3 linked regions of the Notamacropus eugenii genome follow. The protein of the gene in region 1 purifies or fractionates together with the protein of each later gene. This does not show direct contact. Links are inferred from orthologs where the notes say so. Each region holds a gene or a part of one and is shown on either strand. Other genes may lie near its edges.

Evidence for each region.
Region 2: the proteins of FASLG (region 1) and SNX33 purify together in Homo sapiens (co-immunoprecipitation; 3 studies listed by BioGRID and IntAct, counting the BioPlex papers as one, with this or other methods). This does not show direct contact. The link is inferred for Notamacropus eugenii from reciprocal best matches to the Homo sapiens genes FASLG and SNX33.
Region 3: the proteins of FASLG (region 1) and SNX9 purify together in Homo sapiens (co-immunoprecipitation; 3 studies listed by BioGRID and IntAct, with this or other methods). This does not show direct contact. The link is inferred for Notamacropus eugenii from reciprocal best matches to the Homo sapiens genes FASLG and SNX9.

The regions. Positions count from the first base shown.
Region 1 is NC_092873.1:473,683,386-473,693,386, forward strand, and holds the start of FASLG (tumor necrosis factor ligand superfamily member 6), read right to left. Parts: upstream 5,079-10,001; 5' UTR 1-5,078. Other genes in the region: SUCO (SUN domain-containing ossification factor), read right to left, coding at 6,848-7,291, 7,757-7,812, 9,905-9,996. UniProt on the Homo sapiens protein: Cytokine that binds to TNFRSF6/FAS, a receptor that transduces the apoptotic signal into cells. Involved in cytotoxic T-cell-mediated apoptosis, natural killer cell-mediated apoptosis and in T-cell development.
Region 2 is NC_092872.1:240,221,023-240,231,435, reverse strand, and holds the start of SNX33 (sorting nexin-33), read left to right. Parts: upstream 1-5,672; 5' UTR 5,673-7,923; coding exon 7,924-9,367; intron 9,368-10,413. UniProt on the Homo sapiens protein: Plays a role in the reorganization of the cytoskeleton, endocytosis and cellular vesicle trafficking via its interactions with membranes, WASL, DNM1 and DNM2. Acts both during interphase and at the end of mitotic cell divisions.
Region 3 is NC_092873.1:251,468,386-251,479,121, reverse strand, and holds the start of SNX9 (sorting nexin-9), read right to left. Parts: upstream 4,570-10,736; 5' UTR 4,405-4,569; coding exon 4,322-4,404; intron 1-4,321. UniProt on the Homo sapiens protein: Involved in endocytosis and intracellular vesicle trafficking, both during interphase and at the end of mitosis. Required for efficient progress through mitosis and cytokinesis. Required for normal formation of the cleavage furrow at the end of mitosis.

The sequences.
Region 1 (10,001 bases):
AACTTGCAGAAGAGATGGCTGCATCACTATCAATGATCCCTAAAAAATGTCCTGCAGCCTGAGAGAAGGGCAAATGTCCTGATTTAAAAACAAAAAAAGAGCTTAGAGTGTACAAACTATGAATTGGTGAGTTTGGCTGATTTCTAGCAAAACTTTAATACACCATATGAATGAAAGGGTCAGAGAACATCAGAAGAGAAAGTCATGATCAAAGGGTAAGCATCACTTCATTAACAACAGTTCATGCTAGACTAACCTTACTTCCTACTTTGGAAACGGTTACTAAACTGGTAAAGTCATATAGTTTATCTAGATTTAAGCAAAGTAAAGGTAATCTATCACACTATTCTTGGGTAAAAGATGAAGAGATGTGGGTTAGATCGTAGAATCCAGTGGATTTGGAACTGATCTGCCAGCCAGACTCAGAAAGAGTAAGTCATTAACGATTCCATGTCAGCTTGGAAGTCAAAAAAGCATCTCTGAGATACCATGTTTGGCCCTTCGCTGACTTAACATTTCCTGTTGATGACTCAGATAAAGTCATAAATAGTAAACTCACCAAATTTGCACATGAAATAGAGCAGAGCAGAATGGTTTATAGGGAACCTGCAGCCTCAAGGCCACATGTGGCTCTTTAGGTCCTTAAGTGCATTCCTATGACTGAATCTAAACTTCACAGAACAAATCTTTTTATTAAGGGGATTTGTTCAGTGAAGTTCGGATTCAGTCGAAGGGCTACACTAGAGGACCTACCTAGAGGGCTGCAGGTTCCCCACCCCTGACACAGATAACAATAAGGATCCAAAAAGACATGACAGGCTAGATCATTAGGCTGAATCTAGTAAGATGCAATTTAACAGGGATAAATGTAGATAAACCAGAGTTCAAAAAACTCAACTTCACGAATACAAGATATCTCGTAGGGAGAGTTGGATGAAACTTTGAAAAAGTGCTGGTGCTTTTGGTGCATTCAAAGGGTCAGCATTTTGATATTGAAAGATCGTCACTGCTTCCTGGAATATGGAAGTGATTCTCCTTTTATCAGACATTTGGAGTGTTATGCTGTTCTGGGCAGGACACTGATAAACTTGGTAATGTCTAGAACAGTTTCTTGACCTGGGGTTTGTGAACTTAAAACACAAAACCTGTTAAATCTACTTCAATATGTAATTCCTTAATAATATTACATATTTTATTTATGCATTTAAAAAGATGCTGATATGAGGTCCATAGGCTGCACTGAACTACTAAAAGAGAAGACTAATGTGAACATAGTAACTGTGATTGAAGGGCCATCATGAGGAAGGATTTGTTCCCTTTGGCCCAAGAGGACCAAATAAGGATCAATGAATGGGTAGAAGTTGCAAAGGGAAAAAATTTAGGATGGCAAGAATATCTTCCTAACAATGAGAGAAGCTCAAAAAATGGAAGGGGCTATCTTGAGATGCTGAAGGTTTCCCCTCAAGAGAAATCTTTAAGCCAAAGATGAATGACCAAACCATGTAAATTGTAGTGGGGATTGGATGTGTTGATTGCTTAAGTCCTTTCCAACTTGGAAATTCTGATCTTTCAATAAAGGTCAAAATGAGCTAAGGCTGATAGATAACTAAGGTCAGCAAAAAGGGTTTGTTATTGTCATTCTCAGTCATAATAAGGAAAAACTGAGAATCAAAGAAGAGCCAAAGCATCTACTTGAACTGACTGGAAGGCACAGAACAAAAATGCTAATAGGAAGTTGAAATCAAAGCCAAGGGTGGAGAAAGAAAGAGATAATGTTGTTGCCCTTTATGAGTTCAAATCACCTATTCCAAATGACTAAGACTAAAAACTGATATCTAACTGTTGACTAGGGTCAGTGACACCTGCAAAATATGGCACAATAGGAGATGGGGCAAGGGCAAATGTCCAAATTGTTGAGAAAGGGAAGGAAATGGGAACCTGCATACTGTAGCCAAAGAACTTGACTTCTACATTTCTGACAAAACTCTGGAACGCACTGATAGTGAACATTTAGATAAGGATGACAAAAGGCCAGCATAGCTTCCTCAAGAAGGATTGTGCCAAACTTAGTTTATTTTTTAAAATAGATTTCTTGGAGTCTAGATTAATAAAGCAAGGTGCTGCTGTTGATAAGGTTTACCTAGATTTTAATAAAATATTTGAAAAAGTCTATCAAGCTATTTTTGTGGAGGAGGAGGAGAGGCGGGAGAAAATGGAAAGATGTGGTTTAATGAAGGTACAACTTGATGGATTAAGAACTGATTAAATGGCACAACCTAAAGAGTACTCACTAATAGTTTGATACTAACTTGGAAGATTTCCATTGGAGTGACTCTGGGATTTGTGCATAGTCCTCTGTTAAGGATAGAGGGTCATGCACACTTACATTTTTATCAATAACTTGGATAAAGGCATACAAGGGGTCTTTATTAAATGATACAAAGCTTAAAGTAAAAAAGCTTAGAGATACAAAAAACAAAGCTTAAAGTTTCACTAACACTGGATAATAAGTTAGGGTTCAAAAGAAAGTATACAAGCTAGAATACTGAGCTGAATATAGTAAATGAAATTTAATAGGAATATAAATGCAATGCCATATGTATATACATATATACATATATACATACATATGTATGTGTGTGTGTGTGTGTGTGTATGGAGAGAGAGAGAGGAAGAGGGAGAGAGAGAGAGAGGGAGGGGGAGAGAGAGAGAGAGGGAGGGGGAGAGAGAGAGAGAGAGAGAGAGAGAGGAAGAGGGAGAGAGAGAGAGAGGGAGGGGGAGGGAGAGAGGGAGGGGGAGGGAGAGAGAGAGAGAGAGAGAGAGAGAGAGAGAGAGAGAGAGAGAGAGAGAGAGAGAGTTCCTAGGAACAAGATTAGGGTGGGGGCCAAGGTGGATGGTCAGACAGCAAACTTGTTTGAAGATCTAAGTATTTCAGTGGACTGAACATTCAATAAGTCAACAGTGGAACATGGCAACCAAAAGGTAAAATTAAATTGCATCTAGAGAAAGGCATGGCTCTTCCTAGAATTAAGAGGTGAAAGTCCTACCATCTTCTGCCTTAATATAGAGTTCAGTTGTGCGTGTTGCATTTTAGTAAATATTGTGAAGCACCAGGGGAAGAAAAACAGTATAAGGGTTTTAAGTTTATGTCATATGAGAATCATGGATGGAACTGGAGATGTTTAACCTGAACTGTCAATGAGGAACAGAATAACTGTCTGAGATTAGACCTACTTTGTTTGGTCCTAAAGGGCAAGCTTCAAGGAGGCAAATATAGGTAAGAATTTCTTAAAAAAAAAAAATTCTTTTTAATTTGAAAATTAATGTTTACATTAAAAAGTTATCCAAAAGTGAAAAAGGCATTCTGGGGAAAAAGTGGGTTCTCCCTCATGGGAGGTCTTCAAACAAAAGCTAAATGGGCACTTATCCAGTATCGTTTGGAGGGATTTTTGGTAGATATCTTGATAGAGAAAGGACAGACAGTTGATGATATGTCTTTCAACTCTGAGGTCCTATTCTTTCCTGCCTCATTCTCCTTAAATAATAACCCTAAACAAGTAAGTATGAGTGATAGTTGTTTTTCTTCTCTCAGTAAATTTCCCTGTAGCCAAGCAGAAGTCATCAAACCCCTCAAGCCCTCCTCCTACTGACTTTAGATATATTTTCAAAGTTCTGTAGAAGGAGCTTAGTGTTTGGTATTGATGGTGGCTGTTTCTCCCACTAATTTTGTTTAAAGCAGGGGTGGGCAGGTGACCACAGTAGCAGAATCTTTAAGTTTCTCTTTTTTCAGTTACGCTTCAAGGCCTTAAGAAAGAACAATTCTTCTGTTTTATGTAAATGCTGTAAAACATTGACTCCTCAAAGGCTATCCCCCATTAATGGTTAATGGATCATGCTATCTAAGAAGTATTATGAATGTATATATCGATGTACGAATATACTCACACTTTCCTACTGGAAGAGAATGTAGTATAAGATTACTGAGAATTTATTTCTTTAGAATTCCTATAATGTCCTGGTTCTTGAATTCTCCATCTCCTTAATCTATTGAGAACTGCAAGTATAGTTGCTTTATATAGTGTAAGAAAAAAAAAATAGAAGAAACAGTACATGCTGTTTAATCATTCTGTAATCCTCAAATACCATAGGGATTACTTGACACTTTATTGAACAATATCAGAGTACTTTAGGAAATTATAAAAAACTACCAGGTTGTTCGCATGAACCTTTAAAAAGGTGCAACTCCCAAAGACTTGCTATTACAAGTAAAAACCCAGCATCCTTAAATGTGCATGTGCCTCGCTGTGGCAAGAAACGAACCTGCAATTAAATAACATTGTCAGTATTTGGTATTTAGTTTGGTATTCAGCTCCAGTCCCAAGGTGCACTTACCTGTAAATGACCTGATTGTGTCACTAGGGAAACATAAAGTCACCAAAATTATTAGGGCCATTAGCGCTGACTTGTTAAAACTGTACAGCTAAATCTTTACAACTAATTCAACCACATAGACTTTCAAAAAGCAAAATAGTGATTTATCATTAGTGACTTCTGAGAGTCTAACAGAATTATAAATTCAGAACTAGAAGAGTCCTCAGAAGACATTCATCAAAGTCAATTTCATTTTATAAAGGAACTGAAGTTCAGGGAGGCTGTGACCTGTTGAAGGTCACATGGCGATGGAAGCTAGATGTGAAGTAAGGACCTCTGACTCTGTTTGAGCCAGTGCTCTTTCCAGTTCCCCATAGGGCTTTCTAGTAGATTGATAACACTGACTTTTACTAGTCCTATGAGCAGTGAAATACCAAGCATAGAAAGAGGAAAACTTGAGTGTGTTGATTTATAACTCAAATAATATACTACTGGAATTTCTTCTGTTGTTCTCACATTTTAAATGTTTGGTAACAAGTAATATCTTTCAACTCACGTAACCAAAAATTTAACATAACAGAAAAAAAGCATATCTAAGAATTAAATAAAGTTATTGTCTCCTTAAATATGTAGAGTTTAAAATGTCCCTAGAGAAGCCAGTATAGAAAGAAGAACTACATAAGGATCAAAGAAAATCAGAAAGTTAGCTTAATAATAGAAAACCTGAAATTATTAAGTCAAATTAGTACCAAGCATTTATATACAATCCATATAAATAGTTAGTAGAATGAATGTTGGGAGTGTTTAACTTAAAAAAAAAATTAAAGACATTAAATTAATAAAGACAAGTGTTCAGATTTATTTGGAAATTCACAGTTTCTAATGGCACTACAGCTCTGTAGTTACATAAATCTTCTTTCCACAATGTTGAATGCTGCACTCAGATGATATTTTCCCATCCTTACCTCATTCTAATTTGGACCTCAATTCACTGTAATTATTATAAAACTCAGGCCCTCTTGCTGTGAATGGCTAAATGTACAGACTGACCAACAAAAATTACATCTCTCAGAACGTACTGGTAAACTAACATGAAAGCAGCAAAAAAAAATTTAAAGGCCTTAAATAAGTCACATTACATACAATACCCAGAAAAGGCATCAGATCTGTTTTAAAAAAGGATACTACTAAAAGTGCTTAATAAGTTAAAACAGCCTTACAAGGAACGTGATGCTGTTAGACCTCTCAACACAAAAAAGAAAAAGAAAATGCTTTCTCCAACTTCACTCACCATTGCACATTCACACCCCCTATGGAATAAGTGTAATCCAAGTATACAACTGCTGCCAAAATTAAAAAAGAAAAGTACAAAAACAGACAAAAAACACACACATCCAAACATCCCACCCTGCACATTTGTAGCCAATACTAAAGCAAACACATTATGGAATAATTCATTCAATCTTGACCATTCAGACAAGGATCGGCAAACTCCCTGGCATGCCTGTTTACATTTGGACTCTGCAAAGATAATATCATTTTACGCTATTCCTGGTCACAAGTTGCTTTTTTTTCCTTTGCCAAATCAATTTCACCAAATTTTGCATGTTTCAAAGGATTTGTGTTCATTGTGAACAGTCAGAATTCAAATGTAGCCAATGAGTACCCATAATGGTAGTTAAATATCCTTAAGGTAAATCTATAAAGAATTAGTTTGGGAATAATGGTCATCTGCAAAGTCCTAGGTGGTCCACTTTAAGCTTATATCATTCAGTTTCCAAGGATAAAGGAATTCATTCTAAATCAAGTAAATGAAGACACCATTAACAGCATCACGACCCCCCTCAGAGAACAGGCTTTCTGGCCCTGCAAGTCTTTCATATTCCTTGGTGAGTTTGCTACACAGAGATCTTCCAGGCAGATCTCATCTGGTCTTCACTGCTCAAACACACATGTACAAGCTGAGCTTCAGGCACAGGCCCCTTGTAGAGCAATGTAGTGTATACAGCTTCACAAGAGCTTACGTTACCAAAGAAATCAGAGGACAGAAACAAGTTTCTCTTTCTCTCTCATCTTCCAGTGGCGTTATAAATAGACACAAGGCACATCAATATGGGAAGGTGCAAGAAACAGGAACAAAGCTGAAGGAAGAGCATTAGGCTTTCATTCCTATTCTAGCCAAGGAACTGGGTTTCCAAATTACCTTTGCCCCAGTAATTAACCTGTGAAAAAAACATCTTTATAAAATGCCTCCCGTTGTCCAGGTAGGAAGTGATTAGCCTTGTAAAACTGCAGCTCGTTAACCAAGATTGACACAATCCCATCTACTTAAAAAGGCAGAAATCATCATTTCTGAATCCTTTTCCCGTAAGTTTTTAATGCCTCCCTAACCCGCCCCCCCACCCCAGCCCCTTCAAATACCACAGACTTCTTCAGAGAACAACAAAAGTCTCCAGTATGAAAAATTCTGCTAGTTTTAAATGTGTCCCGATACTGCTGTGACACCAAATGTTCCCACTGTGATCTCCTTGTTTCCTTTGATGAGGTCGTGCAGGCTCGGCATTGAACCTGACTTAGTCTGAATGAGTGTTTTTATCAACTTTCCTTGGTCTTGAACTCTAGATCGCCTTCGTTTTAAAGCCCTCTTTTCAGTTTTTGTTTTTTGGGTCTGTCCATTACACAAACTTGTGCAAGCTGAAATGCCACAGAAATAGGATTCTTCTGACTGTGAGGAGGTCTCTGAGCTTCCTTCAGATGGAGGACCCTTGTAAGAAGAGTGATAAACCTCTCCCATATTAGAGAAATCTCTCTGGTTCGTAAAGGGTTTCCTTCCTTTAATGTCTCCATTGGCTATAGGATGCGATGTGTCAGCTGGCTTAACAGTCTCAATTTTTTCAGTTTTATATTTGCAGCGTTTCTTCTACAACACATACACACAAAAGAAAACTGGCATTAGAATTTCAAAAATTAGGTAGTTGTTTATCTGGAAGAACTGAATCACTGTGGGATAAGTGCCATCTTCTGGTGCCTGGCACACAGTAGGCACTTAATAAATGTTTAATGATTTGAAAAGCAAGAATGCATATAAACTGTTAACCATGTATAACTTTGTATAACTTTGTATAACACTAATCTTTTAAAAATAACAGATTTTAAACAAGTTGCTATCTCTGGCTAAATAACTGTCATTAATAATGATTGGGTAACCACACTAATAACATTAATTCTCATAGTCTATCATCTATAAAACAAGATTCCATTTCACATTTTTGTGAGGGGATGGGTAGTATTGAACTGGCTTATTTTTATATCTAAGACCATACGAATCTATTTCTTATCTCCCAACTCATAATACACTAAATGTATTCCATAAATGCAAAATTACCTTTTTTTCTGGTGAGAACTTCAGTGGTTCTACGATGTATAAATCATCTGGGTCTACTACAAGGAGAAAAAGAGCAGATATAAAAATGAGAGCTAACAAAGATGCAATTAGTCACTAATCTTGCACAACAATTGTAGGAAGGTTTTTAGCCTTGACCTAGTAAGATCTTTAGCAATCTAATTCACTGCTTGTGCTCATAACAGTTTAAAAAAAAATTATTTGTAATAACATAAAATTGTTAACACACACACACAAACACATGCATGCACACAAAAGAGCTAAAGAAAAACTTCAAATAAGGCTTCCAATTCAGTCGATTTCGAAATCTGTGGCTCAATGCGCACCCGTACTATGACACCAGGAAGCACTTAGGTTTCCTCAGAGTCAGAGACACTGCTCATTAGCTGTGACCTGGCAAGTTTCCTTAGAAAAGTTTATCATTTAGGAATCCCCTCCAACATCCCTGTCAGGCTATCTAGTCCCTGCTTGACAGTAACAACAATAATTACCATAAAACTAATGCTAATACTTCAAAGTTTACAAAGTGCTTTATAAATATTATTTCATCTTAACTTCACAACAACTCTTGGAAGCAGGAGCTAATATTATCTCTATGGTACCGATAAGGAAACTGAGGCAAATCGAAGTGATCTGTCTAGGCCGGGTCTCACAGGCAAGATTCAAACTCAGATCTTGACTCCAATCCCAACTCTTTATACCTTATGCCACCTCCCTACCCTGCTTAAATATTTCTGAGATAGAAGTCATTATTGCAAGATGGGCCCATACCATTATAATCTCCATCCAATGGTTCCAGAATAATGTAAACTTTTTAGAAAGTTTATCATTCCCATTTCAACCACATCATGTCTAAAAAGCAGACACAACTTTTGCTGTAAACATAATCTTTCAATTTATAAGTATTATCATTTGCCACAGATGTCACTATAAAGGTGAATAAATATCATTTTTTTCCACTTGCTTCTGGAATTATGGCAAAAAAGGTCAATTTCTAAGTTCAGGTGGGCAAGCAGGAAGGCTTTCACATCCTTAAGGTACCTAATGTGACCCTCAGAAAAAAAGCCTAAAATACACAAAACAAGGGATTATCCCATAACTTAATTATATATCCTGTTATATGTGTTTAAATACAAATAGAAAAGTAAAATTCTACCCTATGACTGACTTTTGCCCTGTTGTTTCTCAGTCTGAAGAATGCCCAGTAGACTCTCCTGACTTACTGAAATCCCTTTTGACTCTTTGTTCTGGAAGCTGAAGGAAAAAAAAAACAGCTGGTCTACTTATTTTAAAAAGTAGGCATTTGCTAAATTAGTACTTAAGCCTTATTAAAAACAACCACAAATATTAAACAGAGAAGATACAGCATAAAAGTCCATCCTCATATATTTTCCCCCAAAAGAAATTATATTTTAAGGTCTGGCAAGTATTGATTTAGTTTAATAATTACCTAGGCTATGCGCACATACGAGGAGGACTGATTTATAACATGACTATAATCAATTAATATTTTTATATAACCTTGAGAAGGACAGGAAAAGAAGCAATAAAAAGGTACAGAACTCGTCCAGATTTATATCACAGATAATAGACTTTTGGATTGGAAGGGACCAATAAGATGCTGACCAATAAATTTACAGATGAGGAAAAAGAAGTTTCAGTAGGTTAAATAGGTTGGCCAACATCACCTGACTAGTTAAATGGAAGCCACAATTAGAACCTAAGAACCTCGGCTCCTGGCTAGGTACACTTTGTTCTTTATACTCTTTATAAGTAACTGGAAAAAATAAAATACTATTTGAATTGGGGGGGAAAAAAGAAAATGACATTTATTGAAATTTTAAACCTGCCTATCTACAAAAGAAGTATGTGTTAGAAGCTGCTAAAAGATGACATCTGCTGGTGAGCCAGTAAACTCCTGACTCAATCTCTGGATTTACAGGACAAAGTCAGAGAAGATAATTAAGCTATGAAATATGATGTGACAGTGATACATCATAATTAGAAACTAATTTTATGTCTAATGATCTTTCTGCTTTAGAAATAGTAGATTCTTAAACATATCAGTAATATATATAAAACTATTTTTTCACACACACACACACACACACACACACACACACAGCCTACCTTCTCTGCCAGTTAACTGAAGAGATTTAGATCTGATAAGGGGAAATGAGGTTCTTCTTTTTAAATTCAGATCATCATAGGAGGAGAAACACCTAAA
Region 2 (10,413 bases), on another chromosome or scaffold:
TCCAGAGATCCCACGGAAGGATGTAACCCTTTTTGTCAGAGATAGAAAGATAGTTCCCATATATACCAAGTATTTATTATGTCACTTTTTTTTGTGTTGGCAAAAAACTACAAAAAGGTGGAAAACATTCTAAACAAACCATGGTCTATGAAAATAATAGAATATTTCTGAATTCAGAGAGTCATGGGAAGAGTTGTAGGAAGGTATTCCAGACTGGATTCAGTAAGCAAAACCAGGCAAAGAGTATACACCCAATGATGACCAGGATGGAAATGAAAAGTATATGAATGAACTTGAACACTGTGTAACCCTGATCAGCCTTGGCTGAGGAATAGAGATGAGGCAATGTATCTATCCCGTTTACCTGGAGAGGTGGTAGAGGTGGGTGTGGCTGTAGCAGCTGCTGCCAGATGTGGCCACTGTGTCAGCCTGACTTTTTCTTTGGTACTAGAGAAGGCTCCCTGGAATCATAGGCATCAATAAAACTTAAAAATAAGAGTTTACATTTTTAATTAAAAATTAATTTAAAAGAATTAATTGAAAGAATTAATTTTAAAAGAAAAATATTATTTTTAAAGTAAGAGAAAGAGGAGGGGGAGGGAGAGAGAGAGAGAGAGGAATTTCTGGCTTCCCTGAAGGCCTTAGCTTATGGGACACCTCCTACTAGCCTCTCCTGGTCTTTCACTTTGCCACTTTGTTCTCCTCTCCTCAGATAATCATGTATCTATGTCTCTCTTTATATGTTGTATCTCCATAGAGTAGAATGTCCCTCAGGCAGAGGCTACTTTTCTTTGTGTCTGTATCCCTAGGCCCAACACAGTACCTTCACATTATAGACAATAAATACTTCTTGGATTTGATTGGAATTCAGGTTAGTAAAGATCCCACTGCTAGTGAATGCAGAGTTAGCATGAGAAGCTAAGTCTCCTGGCATCCAATCCACAACCCTTTGTACAACACTGAACACATACTTTCTAACTCTTATAATGGAGAACCAGGAGAAAAATGTAATAATGAAATGTAAAAAAACCGAAAAATTTTGAAAGACTTGAGAACTCTGACCAACATAATCATGATTCCTGAGGATGGATGATGAAGAAGAATGCTACCCACTTCCTGCCAGAATGGTGATCGACTCAAGATGCAGAACAAGACACACATTTTTGGACACAGCCAATATGGGAATTTGTCTTACATGACTGTTCATGTTTGTTATATGGGGGGTTTTCTTTTCCTTCTTTTTTTATTTCAGTAGGTGAAGGTGGCAGGAGAGATTCAAGAAATCCTTGTTAATTGAAAAAAATAAAATTTAATTAAAAAGATAACTGCTGGTGGGTGATAGATTTTGAGAGGAGGTAGAGCTCATTCAACCCATTCCTTGCCCTACAAAAAAACCCCATAATGGTGTCACAAAGTCAGACACAACTGAAACGACTGAACAATAAAAAAAAAACACCTAACTCATACAGGGGCAAATGATTTTATGTCCATTCCTGAGTATGACATCAACTGGTGGCCTCCCCTTTCTTGTTAGCATTCATGGTGGACACCATCTTGATTTTTCAAGTACTTCTTGTATAGGTGAGTAACTACAAGCAGTCAGAGGAAGCCCATGTTGGTGGAGGAAGGGTTACTGATTGTCTCACCTGCCGATGCAGACTCCTACAACTTCAACTCAAATATTTATTAAATAATGTGTGTAGAGCATGGTACCAGCTAGTGGGGGAGATCCGAGGTTTAGAGAAGACAGAACCTGCCCTCAGAGCTTTGGGTCTCAAGGGAAGATAGCAAGAATACAAAACATCAACTGTGTAAGAAAGATGTGAACTGACTGCTTTTCAAAGGTTAAGCTATGGTTGAAGTCATTATTGACTGAAAGGATTGAGGAAATCTTCATGAACCAAGTGATATTTGAGGCAGTCTTAAAGGAAAGGTAGGATTTTAACACATGGAGATGGGAGATAGAGGGAAAATGGTCACTATTTCATTGATAGGGACCAGACCTGCTCCAGATAAGATGGCAGTACCATAGGCAGTCAGAAGTAATGTAAGATTACATATAACTTGGAGTTGGTAGTAATCTTGTAGGGTATCTAGTCCAACTCTCATTTTATGCATGAAGAAACTAAAACTTGAGGGGACACAATGTCTAGCATGGCACAATGGGTAGCATGCCAGGAAGACTTATCCTTGTGAGTTCAAACTTGGCTTCAGACACTTACTAGCTGTGTCACCCTGGGCACGTCACTTAACCCTGTTTGCCTCTGTTTCCTCATCTGTAAAATGGCAAACCACTCCAGTATCTTTGCCAAGAAAACACCAAAAAGGGGTCATGAAGAGTCAGATATGACTGAAAAATGACTGAACAACAACAAAAAACAACTTGAGAATTTAAATTCTATGTCCAGGGTCTCACAAATAGGGTCACAGATGTAGAGCTGGGAAGGTGCTCTTATTTGATAGATGGGGAAACTGAGGCCCCGAGGGTTTAAATGATTTTTCCAAGGTCTTACTGGTAGTGAGTGGCAGAATGGCAATTTAACCTAGGCCCTTTCCTTTCAAATCCTGCATTCTCCACCAGGCCACACTACTTCCTGAAGCAGGAAGAAGTAAGCAGGAAAAGTAAGGGGAAGGGACAAATTGTGGAGGCCTTTCTATGGAGTCTGGCAACAAGGAGCTCCTGCAGGTCCCTAGGGTGGGGAAGGATGTGAGCTGATCTACACCAAAGGCAGTTTGATCTGCTAAATGTACAAAGAATGGATTCGGGGTAGCTATGTGGTGCAGTGGGTACAGCACTGGCCCTGGAGTCAGGAGGATCTGAGTTCAAATTTGGCTTACTGTGTGAGTCACTTAACCCTGATTACCTCCAAAAAAAAAAAAAGCATTCAAATTGGGTGAGTGGAGAGGGAGGGAGAGACCTGTGAGGATGCAGTCCAGGCAGGTGGTGATACTATCAGGTGGTATCTACTGTGAAGTTGCTATGGGAATGTTAAGTAAGGGACAGATTTGGAAGATTCCATAACACTACACTGATGCCCCTTTGGGCTGAAGCAAGAGATGTCTGTTGAATTTTACTGATGATGTACTTGCTCCAAACTATGAAAACTGTAGCTGTCCGGGACTCCCCGTGTGTGTTATCTCACCAAACTGAAACTCTTGTGGCAGAGGTTCTCCAAGGCTTTCTCCAATCTGTGCCCACCTTATCTTTTCATCGTTCTATCTGACTACCCTTCTATCTATAGCTAACATTGAGGAGCTGGAGGCTGGGCCTCCTGAGGGTACTCCCTCCAGTCTTCTTTCATGCTGTGTTGACCAAGAACATTGTGTCCTCCCCATCCCACAAAGTGTTTCAGATGGAAGGGCCCTTAGGGAACATTTTGGTCCTCAGATCTAGCCTAATCCTTCATGTTACAGAAGACTGAACATCTGAAAGATTAGATAGATGACTTGTCCTCGACCCAGTTTTAAGAAGCAGCAGAGCCAAGATCTGGCCCTGGGCCTTGCTCCAAAGCCCCGAGCAGGTCCACCATCCTATGGAGTTTCCTCCCACTGTCCTGACCTTTTCTGAAATCCAAGTATAGTCCTAACTAATGGAGACTTGAACTACCTTTGTGCAGCTCCTTTGCCAAACCAGATTGAGGGTTCCCTGAGGCAAGGGAGATATTTGCTCCTCCTGGGTTTCTCACCTAGCTCTACACACAGATGATAGTCAATAAAGGCTTGTTGATTGATTGGTTAATAGGTCATCACCAGTCCAAACTGAATAACTTGCAGAACCATGATTGAAATACCAAGTTTTTTCCATAACCCTAACAAATCAATTCAGCAAACATTCAACATCTGCTACATCCAAGAAATTGGCTGTGCTAGGTGGCTGGGGATAGAAAGGCAAAAAATAATTCAGCTTAACATGTAGAGGATTCAAGACATTCTGGAGTTTACTTTGCACAGAAAGAAAATAACAGGTACACAGATAATCAATCTGTAAGCAAATCTTTATTAAGTGTCTACTAAGAACAAAGCAATTTCTGGAGGAAGAAGGAGTTGTCACTATTTTTATTTAATGTAATAATACATGGAAAGTTCACAGGATTTGAAGTCAGAGGACCTGAGTTCAGATTGTGCCCCTGTCACTTGCTACATTGTGACCTTGTCACAATTATGTCACAACCTCAATGGGGTCTCAGTTTCCTTAACTATAAAATGAGGGGTTTGGACCAGATTGCTTCTAAGGTCTCTTCCAGGTCTAAGTTTACGATTCTGAAGGGCTGCTCCAAGCATGGCACCTCCTCTCCACCCTTACTCAGTAAACTCCAGTGGCTCCCAAACATCTCCAAGATCAAATAGAAAATCCTCTGGCATTTAAAGCCTTTCCTAGCCTGGTCCTTCCTCCACCTCTCCAATCTTCTTATACTTACCCCACTCCATATATTTTGTGACACTGGCCTCTGGGTATTTCCTCAGCCATTACATTTCCTCTCTGGGCTCTAGGCATTCTCACTGGCTCTTCCCAATGTCTGGAAGTCTAGCCCTCCTCCTCTCTGCTCTCCAGGGTCCCTGGCTTCCTTGAGGTCTCATCCCAAGTCCCACTTTCTGCACAGAGCCTTGCCTGGCTGGCCTTCGCCTTGCCTTCCCTCTGTTGATTATTTCTTATTTATCCTGACTATTGTTTTGGCACATAGTTGTTTGCATGTGAGATCCCTGAGAACAGGGACAGTCTTTTGCCTTTCTTTGTATCCCCAGGACTTAGCACAGGGCCTGGCACATAGTAGGTGAGCAATAACGTTTGTTGACTGACATAAATAGATACAGAGAAGCCCGGATTTGGGCTGAGAGGAGTTATATACTTGCCAACTGAGCAATCTTAGTCAAGTAACTAAGACATTTTTCTTATCTGTAAAGGGAGGATTGGAGTGGGTGACTTCTTAAATCTATGGCCTTGTGGTATAGTATAGTTCAGTGGCCAGAGACCCCAGTCTTGGAGTTGGAGTTTTTGGGTTCAAATCCTGACTAACGATTATTATCTTGGACAACTCATTTAAAGGGAGGGAGATGGCCTAGAGGTCATCTTCCAGGTCTAAGTCTGTGCCTTTATATGACATAAAAGGAGTACTGGATTTGGACTGAGAAGCCATGGATAGAAATCCTAACCATTCCCTGTGTGGTTGTGATGAAGTCATCAAGCTTCTTAATTCCTCCAACTGTAAAATGAAAGGGTTGGAGTAGATAGCCTGACAGATCTAAACGCTGGCAGCGTGGTTCAGAGGCCATCGAAATCCCACCCGTGGGACTCTGGGCAAGTCACTTTGCCAGCGAATAACATAGTGCTAGGCACTCAGCAAGTACTTAAATGCTTGTTGCCGCTTTTTGTTCACCTCTTTGGGTCTCGGTTTCCTTATTTGTAAAATACAGAAGTTGGACTCGCTGGGTACTGGGGACCTTTTCAGCTTACTTTGATTCCATTACAGACACCTATAATGCAGTTTCTTTCCTCTCTGCCATCATTCCCCTGTCCTCCATCCCCTCCTCTGGAAAGCCAGGAGGCAGTGGCTACCCCGACTCCCACCCCCACGGCCCTCTCCTCTGAGGCTGCCTCTAGAGGGCGCCCGGGAGGCCGATTTGGCTGCCCTCGGTTTGCCTGCTCCCGACGCTTCGCTCCCGAGCTTAGCAAACTTTCCGAGTTTCTCCTCCTCTTGCGTCATGGAAAAGGTTGGAGGGTGATCGGGAGAGTAGGAGGCGAGAAGCCGTGCGAACTCCCCTGACCTACCGGCCCAGACCCAGGACCGGTGTGGGTGTGTGGGCTACTACTCTGCGAGAGCCTGGGAAGACCGGACTGGGCATATCGGCCTAGGGAGCCCAGGCAGACGGACACCTCCTCCACGCCGGCAGCGCCGACCCGCCGGGGCTCGAGCTGCCTGCTGCCCTCCCGAGGCGTTTGCAGCTGCTCTAAGTTGCGCCGAGGAAGGGATCGGCTTCCCGCGGGGCAACCGGGGCCAGGGCTCCGGCCCCTTTTTCGCCACTCCCAGACCGTCGAACCCCAGCTCCTGTTTCTCCCTCCACCACTTAGTATCCTTCCCGGAGCGGGTCCCCGAGTCCTCGGCCTCGGCGAGGGAGAGAGTGCGGGCGTGCTTGGGGGTGTTTGCGGGTGGGCGGCTACAAGATGGAGTGAAGGGAGCCCCAGTGCCGGCCGCGCGCCCAGAGGGTTGCGAGCGCAGGTGGGCAGCTGAGTTGGGGCCACCCTGCTCCCCCGGCGCTGCGCCGGGGACTGCCTCCCTCCCTCTCCTTGCCATCCCTCAGTCCAAACGGAAGTGCCTCTGTTTTTGCTGAACTCCTCTGGCGGCTTTCTCTCCTCTGCCCTCCCTGCGAGTCTCCCTCCCTTCATCCATCCTTCTCTCCCTCCCTTCCTCTCCAATCATCCCTCCCCCTCTGGACACAAGAACCCGGAATTGCATTTTTTTAAAGCTAGCTTCTTGTAGTCGTTGCAAAGTGGATTGTTGGGGTGCCTCTCATTCCTGGGAAAAGGTTTGCCGATCACTGCCCAGCAGGGACTCGGAGAGGAGCCGACAGAATCACACCTCGTTCCCAACTCTTCTGCCTTTTTTTGAGAAATACCACTCTGTGTGTGTCTGCGTGTTTGTGAGTGTGGAATTTGCGTTTTGTTCCCCTCCGAGCGGATTTGGCGGAGAGTCCTTGTGCCCACTGTTGTTGGTGGTGGGTGAGTTGGTTGGTGTTTTAATGATTGATTTTATCCGGGACTTTCCTCTGAGTACTTTGGTCTGGCTCCCAAGTTCCTGGCTCTTTGCGTCGAGTCAGTTTCAGGCGGGTGGAAACTGACCAAGAATTAAGCAAACAAAAGATTCCAAAAGAATCCAGCTGAGGGGTTCCTCCAGTACCTTTTTGATTCCTCCCAGCCTCCCTCCGAAGGCAGGGAGGAGGTGTTTTTTTTTTTGGTGGGGGTAGTGGTGTGTGGAGAGGGAGGACAAGTGTTCAAGCCAAGGGTTCAGGGACCCAAAGGAACTTCCCCAAGACCCTCCTTTTTCTCTGGATCCAGGTTTGCTGCATGGTCTGTTTTGATCTGAAAGTTCACGTGAATTTTCCCGAGGTCTTGTGTAAGCCTTGGATTGTTGTTGTGTTTTTTTTTCCTCCGGATCTTGTTGGGAAGCCGGAGGGAGGCGTCCACTCTTGGATTTATTTCAGCCTTGTTAGGTTTTCCTTTTACCCCTCTTGGGCTTTTTGGAATTTTTTTAAGCCCAATTCCTAAGACGAGGAAAGGAAGAAAGAAAGCAAAAAATGCTTAAGATACTCCCCACTAGAAAACCAACCATTGAGTAGCTTTTGGAGGGAGTTAACTGTTAGTTACTTTTCATTTTAAACTATTTTTTTTCTTGGGGCACTGTTCTCACTTAAAGTACATTCTTTGCCTTCTTGGCCCTTGTTTTACAGTGCTGGTATCTAGGTGTGATTTTTTTTTTCCCTTTTGGGAGGCTTAGGGTGGAAAGAGATGTAAAATTGCAGCCCAGAACAGGCTGTGGGAAAACAGGAGGCCAGATGGAGACTGTGAGATGAGTACCTAAGAGGTGATGGTATCCTGGCAGGACCTCCTTCTCTGGCCTGTGTTGTCACCTAGGACCAAACCAGAGTCGTATGGGAGCAGACTGTTTGATCCCCTCTCTGGGCTATGTCACTTTCCACCAAGGGAGTGAGAACTGTGTGGAATGCAAGGGCCACACTCGAACTTCTGGCCTGTGTTGAGAGTAAAGGCACAAGCTTGTGGATCCTTGGTGACTGTGTGTGTGTGTTTCTGGATGTGCATGTCAGAAGGCCCTGTCCCTACTTAAGTTTACTTGGGGTCTGAGCTGCACCCTCTTCCCTTTTGCCTTTCCCTTAGACTTTCCTTCCCTATCAAAAAACCCAACCCCAGCCATGGCATTGAAAGGCCGAGCACTTTATGACTTCCAGAGTGAAAACAAAGAGGAGATCAGCATCCAGCAAGATGAAGAGCTGGTGGTCTTCAGTGAGACCTCCTTGGATGGATGGCTGCAGGGGAAGAACAGCCGGGGGGAGACTGGACTCTTCCCTGCCTCCTATGTGGAGATCGTCCGATGTCGTTCTGACTCCAACTATACAGATTATTCAAACAGTCCAGCTAGCTCTCCCAGCAATGAGACTTCTTTCTACGTTGCCCCTGTGGTCAACACGGGCGTCATGTCTCACCAGGGCAGCTTTGAAGATGATGATGAAGACTGGGATGATTGGGATGATGGGGGCACCGTGGTGGAGGAACCACGGGGTGTTGGGCTGGGTACCAATGGGCACCCCCCTCTCAACTTGTCCTATCCTGGTGCCTACCCCAACCAACATATTAGTTTCCGGCCCAAGCCACCCCTAGAGCGCCAGGACAGCACTGCCTCTGGCAAGCGGGGTAGTGTGGTTGGGCGCAATCTGAACCGCTTCTCCTGCTTTGTCCGCTCAGGCGTGGAGGCCTTCATCCTGGGTGACGTTCCCATGATGGCCAAGATTGCTGAGGCCTACTACATTGAAATGGGTCCCAAAGGTCCTCAGTGGAAGGCCAGCCCCCACCCCTTTGCTTGTTCCGTGGAAGACCCCACCAAACAGACCAAGTTCAAGGGCATCAAAAGCTACATCTCCTATAAACTCACACCCAGCCACGTGGGCTCGCCCGTCTATAGGCGCTACAAGCACTTTGACTGGCTCTACAACCGGCTGCTACACAAGTTCACGGTGATCTCGGTGCCTCACCTGCCTGAGAAGCAGGCCACAGGCCGTTTTGAAGAGGACTTTATTGAGAAGCGCAAGCGCAGGCTGATCCTCTGGATGGATCACATGACTAGCCATCCTGTGCTATCCCAGTATGAGGGCTTCCAGCACTTCCTGAGCTGCCTGGATGACAAGCAGTGGAAGATGGGCAAGCGGCGGGCGGAGAAGGATGAGATGGTGGGGGCCAGCTTCCTCCTGACTTTCCAGATCCCCACTGAGCACCAGGACCTCCAGGATGTGGAGGATCGAGTGGATGCCTTCAAGGCCTTCAGCAAGAAGATGGACGACAGTGTGCTGCAGCTCACCAACGTGGCCTCGGAGCTTGTGCGCAAGCACATCGGTGGCTTCCGCAAGGAGTTCCAGAAGCTGGGCAATGCCTTCCAGGCCATCAGCTACTCCTTCCAGCTGGACCCCCCCTACAGCTCGGATGCCCTCAACAATGCCATCTCCCACACGGGCAAGACCTACGAGACTGTGGGCGAGATGTTTGCTGAGCAGCCCAGGAATGACCTCTTCCAGATGCTAGACCGCCTTTCCCTGTACCAGGGCTTGCTCTCCAACTTTCCTGACATCATCCACCTGCAGAAAGGTAAGACCTAGGCTGGGGCTAGCCCCAAGGGGCTCAGGGAAGGACGGAGGGCAGGGGAGCCCCTTTGCCTTTTTAATAACAATGCCCCACATCTTCCAGCTGGCCAAAACTCTTTTCTTTTCAAGACTTCTGTTTGATAGCTTCATATCATTCTTGCAGCACCCCTGTGGGATAAAGGATCATTATCCCCATTTGACAAAAAAGGAAACTGAGGTCTAGAGAGATAAATGACAAAAGTTATACAACTAGTCAGGAGCAGAGCCAAGACTAGGACCCAAGGCTCCTAACTCGCCCCCAGGCTTCTTTCCATTACCCTCCTTCTGCCCCTTTTGTATTTTCTATGGGGATGCCAGTCCATAATGAACCCCTGGGGTTAGAAACACTGGCTGCCTATTTTTGGAACTAAAAGGGAAACTTAAAGATCATTTGATCCTCATTTTATGGATGAGGGAAACTGAGGCCTAGAGAGCATTAAGTGACTTGCTCTAACTACTAAATAACAGAGTAGGATTTGAACCCAGATATTCTGCTACATCAAAATGCTTTAAAAAAATAAACAACCAACAACAAACCATTCTTTTTACCAGGGTCTGTTCCCAGGAAATAAGTGAAGGTGTAGACAAGGAACAGACAGGAAGTGATTCACTCCAGGTTACATTGTGGAGCCCAGGGTGAGTCAGGGAAGGAGACTAGGAGTCCCGGCTCTCACCTGGGAGCTCTTTGTATCCTGTGATCATCCAGCCTCCTCCTTTCCTCTTGTCTTTCTTCTCTTGACCCTTTACCTCTACCTTGTCCTTTTCCTCCTCCCCCTGGCTGAGTCACTGACTGTTGCCTGAGCAGGCAGCCATACTGTCAGGATCTCTGGCATGGGTCCATCTCTGCCCAGTGCCTCCCAGTCCATGATCTTGGGGTGATAGGACCCCATTGGAAGAACTTCATTGAGCACAAGAGGATGAGAGACTGCTGCTTCTTCCTGGGACTGAGAGGGGTCACTAAGGGAATAAAGGAAGGAAGGCACAGGGCTCAGGGAGGTCTGGCTGTGCCCA
Region 3 (10,736 bases), about 220 Mb from region 1:
TTATGAAAACATTTTAAACAAATAGGGCTTTTATTCCTGTTAATTATCCTCTTTGGCTTAGAGATGTCTGGACCAAAAGGTATACACAATTCCGTAACTTTTCTCCTATAAGTCTATATTGTTTTCCAAAATAGTGGACTAATTCACAGTCCTATCAGCAGTGAATTATCATGCCTTTCCTTAGCCCCTTTTCATTTTACACCATTTTGGCCAATCTATTGGGTATAATGATTTGTTTTAATTCATATTTCATTGTTTCACTTTGGGGTTTCACACTTGTTTTAATTTGCATATCTCTGATTGCTGGTCATTTTGAACACTTTTTAACAGTTACTGATAGTTTGTATTTCTTTTTTTAACTTGTGTAAATTTCCTATAGATTCTGAAGCTCAGATTTTTATGAGATATATTTAAAGAAGATTTCTCCCTGAATCTTTTCATCTTGCTCTCGCTGCAGTTTACTTGTGCAAAAGCATTTTATTTTTATATTATTAAGTCTATTTTGCCTTCTATGATTTCCTCTATATTATAACTGATTAAAAATTTTTTCCCTAGTTGTAGAAGGTATAATCTCCCATTTTCAAAAAGAATTTTTTAATCTAAGGAATTTAAATGCTTACCCTCCAACTCCATTAACTATATTACTGTGGAAGCATGCTGAAAAAAAGGGTAGAGGAGTTTCTATAGCAAAGGAAGAGTTTACAGTTAGCATGGCCAAATGTGCCTAGAGTCCTGGACCTGGGAGTTGGTAAGACTTTGGTTTAAATTCTGTCTCAGACTCCTGGCTATTATGTGAGAATGTCACTCTCCCATTCATCAAACTTCAATGGTTCCCTATTATCTCTAGTATCACATATAAAACCCTCTGTTTATTTAGTGTTCAAAGTTCTTCACAACCTGGAGCCTTCCGACCTTGCCAGTCTTAACACTTTACTAATCTCATTTACTCGGAGATCTAGTGATGCTGGCCTTTGTGTTCCTAGCCCAACACTCCCTTCTCTTGGCTTCAGGCATTTTCTCTGGCTGTCCCACATGCCTGGAATGCTCTCCCTCCTCACCATTGCCTTCCAGGTCCCCTCAGGTCCCAGCTATGATCCTACCTTCTACCAGAAACCCTTCTCTTATTTCAGGCTAGTGCCTACCCTCAGCTGAGCATCTCTGATTTATCCTGTCTCAATGCATGTGGTCTCCCTCATCAGACCTGCCCCTTCAGAGCAGGAGCCTTTCTCTATTTTTTGCCTTTCTCTGTGTCTATCCATAGAGCTTAGTATGGTGTGTGGCACAGCACTGGCACACAGTAGGTGCTTAATAAATGCTAACTGCCTGATTTGCTCTGGGCCAGCTGCTTACTCTCTCCTGAGCCTCAATTCCTCATCTGTAAAAAAGGGAGTTGAACTAAGTGATCCCTCAGGTCCCGTATTACTCTGCTCCAAATCCAGGATCCCATGGCCTCTTTCACTTGGAGCACACACCTCCATTCAGTCTGCACAGCTGTCAGATGCTTCTGTTACAATCACACTCACACTGAGAGATCTACCAGCAAGTGGTGGATAGTTCCAACGTATCTCCCAGCAACTTCCCCACAGCACTTGGTGGAGCGTCCACACTACGGACGACCGTGGTAAATAAGCCTCTCTGGCTGTGAGACAGATAATAACAATAATAGCAGCAGCAGTTGTTATTTAGATAACTTTTTGTACTCATCTGAACAGTCTGACAGCCCTAGGAGATAGGACTACATCCTAATAACAAGTCCTTCTACAGTGAACAACACTGAGCCCACCTTCCACTGCAAGTGCTTCAGGGGTAACAAGAGGATTCTACTGCAGTTTCCCCGAAGTGATGATGCCATCCAAACACCACAGGGGGAGCACAGGGAGAACCCAGAGTTAGGAAATCCAAGTTCAATTTCCACCTGAGACACTTACAATGGCAATGTGTGATAATGGGCAAGACACTTAATTCTGCAGAACCTCAGTTTCCTCATATGGAAAATGGGCCTAAATAAGACTTGTCCTGTAGGTCTGCCTGCCAGCACCTCTGTAAGCAAGAACTCTTTGCAAACCTTAAAGTACTTTATAAATATGAAAGATTATTATTGACATGAACAATTTAAAACATACAATTTTACTGAGCCAGGTTTACCCAGAATGTTGGCTTCTGTTTTGGAAGACATGAAGGGATTTGGAGATATACCCTTAATTCTTTCAGGCCATTAACATGAAGATACTAATTCAGTTAACAGAACTCTGGTGACCACAAAAAGTTACAACTTCTAAAAACTTCTACCAGTAACCTCTTCCAAGAAAATACTTCATGTTCTGGGATAAATCTGATATGAAACCAGAATCACAGATTTTAAAAGGAAGTCTATGGTCATCAAGTCCTAAAAAAATACATCCTTTACAACATACCCAACAAGTGGTCTCTCCAGCTACTACTGTCTGAAGATCTCCAATGAGGGAAAACCCACCACATTCTAAGGAAGTCCATTCTGCTGTAGGAAAGCTTTCATTGCCATGCAATTTTTCTTTGCATCAAGCCTAAAGGTGCCTTGTGAGTTTTTACCCTTTGTTCCTATTTTTTGCTCTTTGGAGCTAAGAGATGTATATCTCTCCTCCACAAAACAGTCCTTTAGATCCCTGAACATGCTTATCCCATGAGCCCTCAATCTTCTCTTTTCTAGGCTAAACATTCCCAGTTCCTTAATAAAGCATTATTTTTATGGGGAGGCAGCTAGATGGTGCAGGACCTGAAGTCAGAAAGATCTGAGCTCAAATACGGCTTCAGACACTGGCTGAGTGACCCTCTATGTCTGCCACAATTTCCTCCTCTATAAAATGGGGACAATAGCATCTACTTCCCAGCCTTGTGAGGATAAAATAATATTTGTAAATCACGTTGTAAACCCCAAAGCTCTATTTATATGGCATCATCTCGATATATGTAAAACTCTACATAAATGTTAATGATTCGGATGATGATGATGTCAAGACCATTTGTGGACAGCTTGGAACTGCTGAGAAGTCTGTCCTTCCAGGGTGAAACTGCTCAGCATGAGGCTGAAATCTGCTTTGGCCTGACCTCTAGAGCAAAGTGAAAGGACTCTAATCCCTCTTCTACATGAAGGGCTTTCAAAGCTTCAGTCACCTAAACTCTCCAAGCTAATTGTTCCCACGTCCTTTCAATAATCCTCATGAAGAGAGATTGTATAAAATGACCTCCAAGTCATCTGGGTCCTTGCCTGTCTCAACTTTACATGTGTCTACATTAATTTTCTGTAATTAGATCAGGTCTATTAGTTCATCCTAATGAGAACTTGTTGAATCCCAATTCTCCTCTGATGTGTTAGCTATATCCCAGCTGAATATCACCTGCAAATCTGATAAGCACACTTTCTATAGATGAAGGCAGGTGCTGGACTTGGGGTTTCACTGATAGAGAGAATAACCCAAATGAGGAAACTGTCTCTACCAAAGCAAGACTGACATCTTCTCTGTACTCCAAGAACCTTAGGGAGTTACCCAAAGCACAGAGATGTTAAGTGACCAACCAAGGGTCACACAGCCAATACTGTATCAGAGGCAGATCCTGAACATAGGCCTTTCCTACTTCTGGGGTGGGTTCTCTATCCACTGTGCAGGACTATCCTTATGGCTTCACCTGAATCACTGATAAATGCTGACCAGCACAGAGGCAGAATTGAGGATGTCAGGAAGAAACATATCTGCCTATTCCCTTCATACCTCCACAAAGTCAAGTTTCAAGAACTCATTACTAGAATATTCACTTGAATGCAATGAACAGTAAGGTGCCTATCACCATTAAACTCCATGGTTCCAGTTCTAGCACAAATAAAGCCACAGAAAGAGCACAGTATTCATCTGTGAATAGTATCTCTATGCTATCCCAAGATGCAGTATCTAAATACTTTTTTTTTAAAGGCCTATTCACTTAGCTGAATGAATATGGATAGGTTGTACTCAGCACCAACAGTTAATATCCACATCACTGAAGTGAAACATCAGTTTTCCAGGGTGATGGAACAGGCCAAAGTTGATGAAAAACATAGAGACCAGTCCATATCTTACTTGGGAAACTGCAACGCTTTCAACAATCTCAAACTTTTCACTGCTGTAAAAGACCACGGTTAATAAAATGTTCACTAAACAATACAATATGGCTTCAACTGTTAGATAGGACAGGAATTAAAATAGCAAATAAGGTAAAGAGCAAAAGACAGCTGTCCAGTATCCCTCCCTGAGCCCCTGCACTCAGATTGGGGAGAGCATTCTCCCTAACTAGCCTGCCCCTGACATACCTTGCTGCTGCTTTCAGACCTTCTTCATGCAATATCTCCTGTCCCTGCCCTGGTTCTCCAGCTCCCATCCTGGAACCCTGCATGCTGACTGGTGAGTACGCCTTCTCAGTGTCCCTTTCCCCACATCTCCTTTCACCTCTAGCTTTAGGAACAGTAATTAAATTAGTTGGAAAGGACAGACCAATCAATTGCCCTACGGATTTACTCCATATATTCTCAGCCCAAAATACCCTTCTCTGGCCACCATTCCCATAAAACAACTACAAGAAAGCATGTTCTCTTATTATGACGTAAGTATAAGAACATTCTCTTATTAGAATCTAAGCTTTTTGAAGGCAGGGACTCTTTTTTTATTTGTATGTACAGCATTTTTAGAACTGCCTGGAACAGTTAGCCCTAAATAAATGTTTTTACTTTCATTCACCTAATTATTCAATAGAACACATGGTAGGTAGTAGAAGATTGCAATATGGTCTAAAAGTCATTAATGAGGAAATGTATGACAAGATAAAAAAGTGGGGGAGAGATTACATAAAATGAGACAAATGACAGATCCTAAGGATAATGAATTTTTTGGATTTATAGCATAAGAAGACTTTCTTCTTATTCTATAAGTAAACCTTCAATGGAGGACTAATTATATGGACAAGGATTCATAAGGTATAGAATCACAAAGGGGTTGCAATCTGCCAAGGATTAAAAAATAAGGCTGACAGCTACAGGAAATTCTGGGTAATTGCTTTTATTTTCTATATTAAATATTCAGTGGTGTAGGAAAAAGGAATAAAAAGGATTCATTGATTCTCAAAATTCAAAGTCATGGTGTGATGCCATCTCTTATAAGTCTTAGAGAACATTCTGACACGGTTCTCATTGTTTCAGCATGCTATTCTGAGAATTATCAAGGATTTAGGAAGTTTAATCATACCCGGCTGCTTTCACAATGCACCATTCCATTCAGAAAAGCAGAATACTTATTTGTAATCTCTTTAAGGTTTTTTGATGTCTCAATAATCCAACAGTCTACACACATTTTACTTACTGAGGCTGTGTGTCTATGTACCAGGAGCAGTAATTACAAAAAAAAACCAGTCAAAACATTTGTTCTCGGTAGCCAGATGATAGTCAAATGCGGCTGTTTTTAGAGAAGGCCACAGTTTCTTTCACAGCACCCCTTGAACTCATGTGTTAAGTGCTTAAGTGAATTAAGACCTCAAATTTAATTTTTGTCAGTTAAAAAAACAACTTTACAGAGAAAAAAATTGGTGTAATTCAAAGGGAAAAAAAGTACTAGATCAGAAACAGAGGGCTGGAATCTCAGAGCAGCCAAAACACATGACTGAAAAAGAATTCCTTCTGGTCTTAACCCAGGGTCTGGGAAACTTTTTGAAAAATATTTTGATGACTATTTTAATGTAACTAGTTTCCTTGGTAACCCCCAATGTACTTCATTTTGTGTGGTTTTTAAACACACAAATAATAAACAAATAATGAACACACAAATAATAAACATGAGAAGGGATCAATGACACACTCGAAAGGTTAAGATACCCTAATATACAACATTCATGATGAGTGGTCAACCTAGCCTAGGGGAAACCCACTATATCATTCCTCTTATACCGTAAACCTGTGACATTAGTTACAGGACAGGGCAATATACTCTAGCTACTGTAAAAACGCTATCATGTGCTCCACTAATGGGTGAGTCAGAATTATCATTCTCTCTAGAGGACAGTGTATTATTATTACTTATGATAATTCTATAAGTAAGAAGAGGTAGGCATGTTACTCTTTGGTCAACCAAAGAATTTTGTACTAAGTGAACTCCTCAAATAGTTGTGGGATCCATAAGAAGTAATTAGGACCTAAGCATTTCCAAATAAGGTAATTTCTTCCCCTCCCCCAAATGGCCCAATGGTTACTGGCGGTTATTGTCCTATTGGAAAATGATTGTTTCTACCTGTATACATTGCTCATTGAGTTCCAAAAGCTACTTAATTATATCCCACTAGCAGCAAGCACAGCGGATGGAGTACTGGTTCTGGAGTCAGCGAGATCTGAGTTCAAATTGGACCTCTCACCAGCTGTGAGCCTGAGCAAGCTAATTAACCTCTGTTTCAGCTTCCTCATCTGTAAAATGGGGATAACAATAACACCTACCTCCCACGATTGACCAAATGATATAAAAATTGCAGAGTGCTTAGCACAGTGCCTAGAATATATAAATATTAGCTGTTATTATTATTTCTACTTCTAGTAAATTTAGGTAACTGACTTGCAAGTATGTTGTGGGACCAAATAGATTAGGGAGATTGGAATTCAGCTCATACTTTGCCACATACTTGCAGTCCTGCACCATCAGTGACCTTGAAATGAATTTGTATTTATTTTTTAAGAGTTCAAGAACCCTTCTACTTGGTTGTCATTCAACAATCTATAGCCGAACATCAAAAACAATAGTTTCTACATCAAGACTTTAAATGAATATTAAAGACAGATTTGACAGTCTTTTCCTTAACATCCTGAAACAGTGACTGCTTCATTTATCAGATTCATTTTTATTTTAAAACTTTTGAGCAAATCAAATGAGAATATAGACCAATCTCCAAGGAATAAAAAAAACTACTATATGTTACATAACACAATATATGTTATGTCATATAACCTAAGTATATAATTATGTCACTTGACCCTCACAGTAACCTTGTGACTTAGGTACTTTTTTTAAACACTCCCGTTTTACAGATAAAGAAACCAGGACAAAGAGAGGGTAAGTGATTTGCCCAGGATTCTACACCTATTACTTTAAGTGGGATCTACACCTGGATTTGTCTTCCCCAATTTAAATCCAGCATTTTCTCCATACATTTTCCCTAACCCCTCATCTCATTTCTGACTCTATTTTGGTTCTCTGTAGCTGTACAACAAGGCTAGTCACTTGAAACTCTCCCCTGGTGTTATGAAAATCAATAATCTAATGGAAACCCACACAAAATAAAAACAAAATACAGTCCTAAAGACTGCCAAAAGCATCTGTCTAGAGTCAAAAGACACAGAAAGATGGAAGTTTAAAATAAACACCCAAAACAGACCAAATCTCCAGGAAGTTTTTAATAATCTTTCCCCTATTTTCTCTTATCCAGACACAAATAATTCTGACACTAGCTACCTATCTTTGTTGCCTGAACACTGAACCTCCCATCATAAAGATTTCTGGGTTGGATCTTTGTATGTGACTATGGATATAGTCCAACTCAATTATGGAGATATAATTTTTCCAATCCACAAATGATGTGTCCTTTACACTGACTAACTTTGTCAAACATTGGCTATTTCATTTCTGACTAGCATTAATGCCCTGAACCTACAGGGGAAGGAAGAGAGGAAATTAAAATTAATCAGTTTCCTCTGATCAATGCAACAACCACATTTCCAGGGAACCAATGATGCAAGCTTCCCATCTCCTTCCAGAGATGTGATGGACTCTATTTGGAATAGGAGATACATTTTCAAACATGGTCAATATGGGAATTTGTTTTGCTTGATTACGCATACTTATTAAAAGGGTTTCATTTGTTTCATCTTTTTTTATGGGGGGGAATACAAAGGAAGGAAGGAAGAAGGCAGCTTCCAAAAAAGAAAAAGGAAAAAGGGCACTTCAACATTTTTTAAAAATTACACAGAAGAGACCATAAGCCTAGAAAAATAATTACAGAAAAGCAAAACAGCTTTGACAGTTACATACTAAATTTATATATTTTAAAAGAAAAACTAGCTGTACATAATGCTTATGGTTTTGTGCTATGGAAATGCTCATTTTACTTAGCATGCATTAAATTAAGAATAAAAAATAAAATTCTAAAATTAAAATAAATTTTAGGAATAGTTTATAGTGCTGAAACTTAAAGCAAATAAAATATAAAAAGCTATATTTTCTACAAAACCCAAACCCATTCAACTAGCATGGTGATTATGTGCTAATCTGTAACTAAAAATAAAATCCTTTTAAATGGCAATGTCCCCCAGTGAATGTATTATTATTTTATTTTTATATATCTTTTTCAGGAACATGGATCTATTGTGGAAAATGAGACAGACCTGTATTGATATTTACTGGGAGCACCTATTGATTCCAGCAGAAATTCTAGCCTACTAGAATATATTTGAAAACTTTTCTGGACTGTTTAGATCAAAAGAAGAAAAAAGGAAAACAAAACTAAAATGACTTGATATACTCTTTATTTTGAATTAGGGTTGTTGCAGTTAGGTGGTGCAGTGGATTCTGGGCCTTGGGAGTCAGGAAGACCTGGGTTAAAATCCAGCCTAGGACAAGCTGTGTGATCCTGGACATGTCACTTAAATCCTGTTATTCTCAGTTTTCTCTTCTGTACAATGAGGATTCTACCCCTATAAGGTAGCTGGCATGGAACAAATGAGATAACAAATGTAAAGGGCTTCAAAAAATTTAAAGCCTTACCAGGATCTGACACAGGGTGCTTAGTTAAATGCTTGTTGTAAGATAACTAATATGGAAAAGTTTTGCATGACTGCATGTGCATAACCTATAGCAAACGGCTTGCCTCCTAAATGAGGGAGGAGGAAAAGGAGAAGGATAATTTGGAACTCAAAAATTTTAAAAACTAAAGTTAAAATTTTTTTTACATGTAAACTGGAAAAAAATTAAAATATTTAAAAATAATAAAGGCTTGTTGTTGCAAAGCACTATATAAATGTTAGCTATTATTAATATCGTCTAGAAGAAATCTACTTAGAGATCAGCCTAGAGGCTTTCAAAATGGTCAGTAGAAAATTTCTAGATTACTGAAAATACTGTATGTAGTGTGAAAAAGAGTTAAACCTCTTTCATTTGAGAATACCCTTTGATTCTCAACATCCAACAAATTCATTTTTTGAGGCAAAAACATTGAGTGTTGTATGCACACCCTCCTAGGTGCATAGCAATGTGCCCTGCTGCATTCAAGTCACTTTGTAGACAATGCCAATGATCGGCAGAACCCAGGCTTCTGGACATCCAGTTTTCTGCTATTTCACTTCTAAACAATGTTATTACTTGAAATGTACTTGAAAAGCATCTTAGAAGTTCTCTTAATCTCCTAAAAAGCAGCTCATCTTGATTTTAAATAGTCTTGTAAATGCTCAAAAATTACAAGGGGTAGGGAGTAATACTGTTATAAAGGACTAAAACCTTTTTTTTTAAAGGCAGGGTTTTCTTGGAAGAGGTCCTTGGGTTTAACGATTTCAGATGACTCAGACTCATATGACACTGTTTGAATTCTGCAGGATCTCTTACTCCATTTACTATAAAATATTTACTCTCTGGTTTTAAAGTCTCAGAGACATGACTACCACTAACTCAATGACAAGTAAAGAACAAAGTGGATCTCACACATCAGCAAAATGGTCTTTAAAATCAATACTTCATGAAAGAATCTAGCATGTGCAGGGAGGGTCTAAAAACAAAAGGGAAAATCAGCCTCCAGTACTGATCCCAGTAAGCCCAGAAGAGGGGTGGATAGCCAAACAAACCACTAGAGAAGGAGGCCATTTCCCCAAGCTTGGTCCCTTCCTTTCCTACATTCCAATCTTCTCAAACCTCAATCATGCCCATTCTGGGGGTGGGAAGGGGAAGGGAAAATGCATTTACATAGCTCATACTATGTGCTGGGCACCATGCTAAGTGCTTTACTAATATATCATTTGATTCTCACAATAACCCCTGAAAAGCAGGTGCTACTATTATCACCATTTTACAGTTGAGGAAACTGAGGCACCAGGGATTAAGTGACTAGCTCAGGGTCACAGAGCTAGTAAGTATCTAGGGCTAGTTTAAACTCAGATCTTCCTGCTTTCAGGCCACTGTGTCATCAAGTGACAACATCCTCCTTGTGGTTCCTCATGACACCCCATCTCTTAACTGAGAATGTTTTCACTGGCTGTCCCCCACGTCTGGAACTCTCTCCCCAAGTCTCCAACTCTGAGCTTCTTTCAAGTTTCAGTTAAAGTCTCATCTTTGGCAAAAAGGTTTTCCCAATCCTTCTTAAATCTTAGTGCCTTCCCTCGGACATTATCTCCAACTTATCCTGTAGTTTGCTCACAACTGTTTGCTCCTTATCTCCCCCATAGGACTGGGGAATCCTTGAGGGCAAAGTCTGTTTTTTTGTCTTTCTCTTTGCTTGGCACATAGCAGGCACTTAATAGTTCACAGACTGCCCCTTCCAGATGAGGAGGAAGTAGACTAAGCTAGGAAAAAACTAAACATAAAAAAGAGAAAGGAGACTTTATATAAGCAGACTACAAAAAGAAAGAAAAGAGTAGAGTACTGTATCGGGGGTATCCCTGGCATCAAAAGACCTGGGTTCAAGTTTTGTTTCTGAAACACAGTATTCAGACT